2 linked regions of the Drosophila melanogaster genome follow. The protein of the gene in region 1 interacts with the protein of each later gene in a pairwise test. Each region holds a gene or a part of one and is shown on either strand. Other genes may lie near its edges.

What was found. Proteins that work in one complex are often made in the same cells at the same time.
Region 2: the proteins of Vps51 (region 1) and Os-C interact in a two-hybrid assay, tested with the Drosophila melanogaster proteins (one large-scale study listed by BioGRID).

The regions. Positions count from the first base shown.
Region 1 is NT_033778.4:18,709,056-18,712,813, reverse strand, and holds the start of Vps51 (vacuolar protein sorting 51), read left to right. Parts: upstream 1-1,948; 5' UTR 1,949-2,038; coding exon 2,039-2,119; intron 2,120-2,195; coding exon 2,196-2,947; intron 2,948-3,007; coding exon 3,008-3,644; intron 3,645-3,696; coding exon 3,697-3,758. UniProt on the Drosophila melanogaster protein: May act as a component of the GARP complex that is involved in retrograde transport from early and late endosomes to the trans-Golgi network (TGN).
Region 2 is NT_033777.3:7,977,260-7,980,157, forward strand, and holds Os-C (Os-C), read left to right. Parts: upstream 1-1,699; 5' UTR 1,700-1,715; coding exon 1,716-1,805; intron 1,806-1,857; coding exon 1,858-2,229; 3' UTR 2,230-2,355; downstream 2,356-2,898. Other genes in the region: CD98hc (CD98 heavy chain), read right to left, coding at 303-416, 679-703, 759-806; Sfp84E (seminal fluid protein 84E), read right to left, coding at 2,502-2,898.

The sequences.
Region 1 (3,758 bases):
ACATATTAGTGGGCCGAACGTGGGTGGTGTGCACAGCTTTCTCTGTGCCGCACGCAGAAGTGAGAAGGGGAGCAGGAGTGGGGTGGGGGAGAAAGTGAGGTGTGGAAAACCTGGGACAATGGCAACTTGACCTTGACACGTTCGACGCTTTCCGCCGCCCTCACGTCCTTCAGCTTTTCACTTTTTTTTTTTGTTATATTTCGCTCGGCTTACGTAAATTCAATTTTCAGTTTGATGAAAGCAAAGTTCATGCCACACACAAGCGCGAGTGTGTGACACACTGTCCCACTGTCGGTCTTTTCTTTTTTTGTTTGTCTAACCTTTAAGAAGACCATTGCAATTAAAAGTTTTAGTTTTCAATCATAGAAATGATTTGGAATATGAATAATGGTTATTCATTACAAACATATAATAGCATAGTGTGTTGCGAATTAGGATCCTCATCAAACTCCTCATTGCTATACATTTTTCTCAGTGCACATGATACAAGTTTGGAGGCTGATGGCATTGGAGAGCGTGTGATTTGCACAATCTGCACACAACTCGAAATTAAATTCGGCCCCGGCAACAGCTCGAACTTTTTTGCGAAAGGTCAAAATGTTAATGTATTTGAAATGAGACGCCACAAAGGAACGAGAGCGAAAGGAGCCCAGGATAAAATATAGTGCGAATGGTGGGAAAATTACGGGGAATGCTGCAGGGCCAGCAGCCGAAAAGCGAGACTCAGATGCGAGATACAGCAGCACAGGGAACTTTAGGCCCTCGGAATGTGGCAAAAACTTGTCCATGTTCATTCAACTTGACACGGTCGCCAGCGGGCAGACGAACTCCCACCGAAATAAAAAAGGACGCACCAAGAAGTACAAACAACTGCTACATATTTATGCCACGACACTGAAAATACCCATTACAAAAAATGATTTAATGATGTTTAAAAGATATTAAAACTGTAACATAGGGCAATTCAGAATTCAGAAGAATATATCTTTCAATAAGCGTTACATAGTTAATCGCAGTTTCGAAATACCCAACGACAGGGTATAAGACCTTAACAAAAAAGATGTCTGGTAGTGTGGAGGCGGTGGGCGTGGAATGTTTAATGCGATTTGCCACACGTAACTCAGTCTGGGGAGACTGTTGAATTACTTAGGATACAGAAGCCCACATCGTGTTCTACTTTTGTGCTTTATTGAGCCAGGTGATATACAAAGTTATTTGCCATGATTTGGGTCCAAAATGCACAGCATTGTCACGGGGTCCGTTAAGCAATCTACAAAATGTTTAAGTAATTAGGTACATTAGTTAACTAACATTTTGTTGTTACTAACCAGCAGTCACAAATGAGCTGCACAGAGCTGCAATTAATGCGGAAACAAAGAGTAATAGCTTCATGTTGTGATTGCTTTAATAAAACCTTTTACATTAATGCCATTTATGAAAAACAAACAAGTATTTTCTTATCAGTTTGAAATGGGAGATTCCCAATAACAAAGCCGCGATTAGAATAAAAATGACAGAGAGCTTTGCAAACTAAGATAATCTCAGTTCACGTCTCTCACGATTTAATACCAATTCATCACACACCTATGTGCCTAAAAATAAAAACAAAAAGAAAAAACAATAAAAAAGATAATAAAATAATATATTTAATAAAGACACTAACTTTATAAATACTCAGAAAAATATTAAAAATTAAAATTCTTTCAATATAATGCCATAGCAGTACTATTCTGCATTAACATTTAACTGTCTAAATTATTATTCACTTAATAATATAATAATAATATAATAATATTTCTATTTAATTTAAAATAAAAAGTTGCTAAACGCGCACCGTTCAAAAAATGATTGTGTGGCGGTATTGGATATCGATAACAATATTGGTAGTCAGCTGTTAAATGAGGGAAACATTTTTCGTTGCCCAACACACCTTAACTTATCGATATACGAAAAAAACGATAAATCTTCAGCAACAACAAGTTCACAACATTTAGTTTATTTATTTATTTAGACTAGTGGTAAAAAAAAGTTCTACAAAATGGCTGAAACCAAAGCCAATCCCTTCGACATGGACAGCTCCAGCTTCGATGCGGAAAAGTATCTGGAAAGGTTGCTCAAGGTAAGAACAACAAAATAGTGAAGTAATAATCATTAACTTATGCACTTTTTGTTCTGGCTGTTACTCACAAATAAAGGATTGCTCCTTAAAGCAAATAATGGATACGGAGGCGGCGGTGGTCAAGGACACACAGACATTGCACTCTGATATGCAGACGCTGGTCTACGAGAATTACAACAAATTCATCTCCGCCACGGATACAATTCGCCGGATGAAAGATGACTTCAAGCAGATGGAAACGGATGTGAACCTACTGATGACCAAGATGCAATCCATAACGACTTTTAGTGAGCAAATAACCGGAACGCTGCAGGGCACCAGATCGCAACTATGTCGCCTGTCCGAGAAACACTCGCTCCTCAAAAGGCTGCAGTTTCTCTCAACTCTGCCAGCTAAACTGAAGTCCCTCATCGAGGAACAGAACTACGCACAAGCTGTCCAGGACTACCTGCATGCCCAGAAGGTGTTCGCCCAGTACGGTCGACAGCCGTCCTTCGATGGAATCCAGCGAGATTGCGACGCCATCATGGCAGATCTCAAGGAGCAATTGCGAAGTGACTTTCAAAGGGCTGGGAACACGGCCCAATCCTTGACGGAAATTGGAGAGCTACTCCTGCAGCTGGACGAAAAGACTTCGGATCTGGCAAGCGAAATGCTGACTTGCGCTGGCAAACGACTGCACGAGCAAATCGTCATGCTGCAGGATCAAACAGAGCGTGATATGCTGGAGTTTGTGGACATGGGCATCGATGGTTTCCTCAACGATCTGGCACTGGTAGTGACTTCCTACTTTGACATGTTTGTGGCCAAGCACTACGAGCATGAGCGGTAAATTGAACAATATTTTGTATAATCTTAATTGAGTTTTATTATCCATTCCATTTTCAGCGATGACTTTCAGGAGAACGCCCTGCAGGAGCTAAATGTCTTCCTCAATCAGAACATCGAAAAGTATCTGACACTCGTCCAGGATCGTGTTGAGTCCGACATTGGCTACGGCGATACCCAGGTAATGCTACGCGCTCTGGATCGACTTCATCGGCGCCTTCAGGCCATGCGAAATATCTGCCGCGGCTTGGAGGTCCAACGCAACACAGTATCTATCATTATTTCGGCTGCCCACCAACTATGCGATGCCCATGCCAAAAACCTCAAAGATCACTTTGCCGACAGTTTGAGTGCGGTTCGTCTGTCGCTGGTTTCTGCCAAGAGCGATGCAGCTGCTGGTCTCAATCTCGGTGATCTGATAAGCAACCTTTATGTGTCCATGGTGGAGAAAATAAAGGGTGTACTGCAGGACTTGCTTATATTCCTGCGCACCGACTGGTCGTTTAACATCAAGGCGGAACACAAGGGCGCCCTGTGCGTAGAGGGCATTCGGGAGAACCTACTCATTGGCTTCCTACGTCATATTGCCAAGGTGATGTGTGGTTTCGGAGATGCCTCCAGCTCCAGTCCACCCAATCTACTGCTGGTGCTGTCGAAAACGTGTCTGGAACTCGAGCAACAGGGCGTTCACATACTGGTGAGCTTTCTATTGCAACTATTTTTGATTCCCTAACAAACTAAATCCTCAGATTGCTCTGGTTGATGACCTGTACGAAATCGACTCGGAGAACAGTGCAACGCTTACCCACGA
Region 2 (2,898 bases), on another chromosome or scaffold:
CTGGAAGAACTTGCTGACGTCACAGGATGCGAGCCACGCTTCGAGTTTGCGCTTCATTGGAAAATGGACCTGTGGCTTGGTCTAAAATCGATATCGCTTTCCGTATACTCTTCTTATCTCCCGCGTACTGATAAGCACACGCCCACCACGACCCCAGCCACTCATGAAAAATACACATATACACTTTTAAATATAGATACTTAGATACATTTTCATGAGTGCTTCCAGTGAAAATTCGACGCATTGTTACGTCAGCCATACATTTTTCCCCAGCTGTAGACACAATTTCTTTGTTTAATTACCTTTTTCGGGGTTCGAACTGGCTGCCACAAAAGTATCTTCGGCTATAGTTTTGTAGACCTCCGTGGAATCGGGTGGGTATTCAGCAGCTGCGTTGATTGTACTATCACATACGCCTAAAATAGACCGCAGCAAGAATTAGCGAAATGAACGCGGTGAAGAATTCCTTACAAATGCCTCGTTTGTGTGGTATGTAAAATATTTTATAGATTGAATACGGGCTTACCAGGAATTAATCTACCCATCGGTCATACCTTATTCCATATTTTTATAAAATACCTCGGCGATTTTCAGTGCCTACTTACGCTGTCTTACAGATGCTCGTTGCTACAAAACTGATTGGCGGGAAATTTGAACTGTTAGCTTAGAAAAACTCACCAGGAGCTGGTAGCGTAACGGAGCTCTGCAATATTTTTAATCACTTAAAATGCTGAGATATTTGAATTTAATGTACTTACTTTGCTGGCCCCACCTCCCAAACGTATCAAGCGCGAGAATAGGTTCATGGCAGTGGTGATTTCCTGAGATAGTGAAGAATTTAATTTATATTAATGAAAATTACTGTGCTTCAAACAGACTAGCCCAAAACCAATTTTTACTTAAGTATTGTATTGAAGATATGTATTTCTGATGAAGTAAGCTCTTAAAGAAATATTGTAATTTTATACCAATTCATTTGTAGTTACAGCTCACAATTATATAATGATAATTGGGATCGAATAAATATAAAACATTGTAACAAGGTATGTATTGGCACACACTAAAAAATATTATATGTACACATACCCTTAGCTTTTTTGAAAGACTGTTAATAAAACTATAAACAATAAATGAGATATTTGGCACTGGCTTGTATTTTGCACTGTGACCTGCCCAATAAGAGGTCTGATTCGCAACTAAAGTTGCAGTTTCGCTCTGGCAGTGCATCGCCCCCAGAGGCGCAGCCCCAATCCGAACCGCTCCTCGAGTTTGATTTAATTATACCTGTGAAAGAAACGCGTTCCGTGTGCGTAAGTACGATTTATGGCTCGCGGCGATTGAGATTGAGCCGGGCCCAAAAAAACTACCTGTCTGCGTGGCAGCTTACCTGAGCTCTCTCGCTTGACCAAAAGCCAAGTTGGTGGACCGGGTTTTGTGGCCAGCCACCAGCGCAGAGCAAACTGCACTCGTCGGCGCATTCCAGGCCCAAATATGCTGAGTTGCCGGGTGTTTGGAGAGTCAGAGTCTGCCGACTCCACAAGGTTGCCGAATAGAACTCAAATTGGTTTAGCTGGGCCACACCAAAATTGACCAATTGCTGCATTACCCTGCATATTATCTTTTTCCGATTAAGAGACATGCAAGTGTCATTAGCCTATTAACTGGGAGCTATATATATGGCAGGCCGGTGCGTAAGCCCCAACCAAGTTGACAAAATGGGTTTTCACATGGGACGACAGCTGCTACTCTCCGGATTCCTGCTGGTGATGCTTCAGATGGTGACCCAAACGCAGGCCAGGCCGCAGGTGATTGACGAGTATAATCAGTTCGAACATGCATAACTCAATCCGCCATCAGGATGTGATCACAGTTGCTGGCGAGGAGACAGAGGTGGTGATCAAGCGGGAGGGCGATGACGATGGAGACGACGATGACTCCTCCTCCGAGGAAACAGTCGAGGATTCCGAGGAAAGCAGACGCAGACGACGCGAGGTGAATACGGACAACACGCCATCGGCTCGAGCGGTTATTCCAGGTTTGCCAGATCCGGCCACCATAATCAAGATCGCTGAGCTTTTTCAATCCGTAGGCGAGCAAGTAGTCCCCATTCTCTTGGAGGCCATTCTTCCCAGCGTGGATGCAGCGGGCGATCGCTTCGCAAGATCTGTGCAATTTCTGAAAAACTTGACCCCTGGCTCTGAATTGTTTGCCGTCGAGAAGAACGAATAGCCGAGCCAAATTTAATGTGACTACCATTGAAGGAACTGGACCGGAATTGATTTGACTTTTGTATCTGCATAGTGAATCTTAAACAAGTGAATAATATTTGGATGTAGTTTGGTTTCTTGAGTTTCTTAAAAGAATCATTGTTTAAATATCGTTGTAGTAATATTTACATTATATTAAGACATGGTATAACATATTGTCTTATAAGAGGTATTAGTGCTACCCCTAATTATTTTATTTTGGTTACATCAATATATAAGCTCTCAGATTGTTGTTTAACCTTTTGATTCAACTATTTCGTTTTCCGCACTGGTTAAAATATAATAGCTATTGAATCCAGGCCTCTCCCTGCAATTTCTTTCCAAATTTCCAAATAATATGTCAATGACGCTATCGATTGCATCCGACATGCTTCCGCCACAGAGAAGGATTTCCGTGAAAACTTTGTGGATAAGTGGGTGAATGGGCTTGTCGAGGCACACTTCATTGAGCCTGTCTAAAATTCCACTGATCATGCCATGGATCACTTTACCAACCAAGTTTTTCTCTTTGAAAATATCCATGCAGTGTTTATAAAAGTTTTCCGTATAGTCTCCTAATGTAAGTTGTGTTGTTTGATTGGTTCTAGCCCGTATGACATTCTGCTTTGGTTTCACAAAGCTTCTATAATGA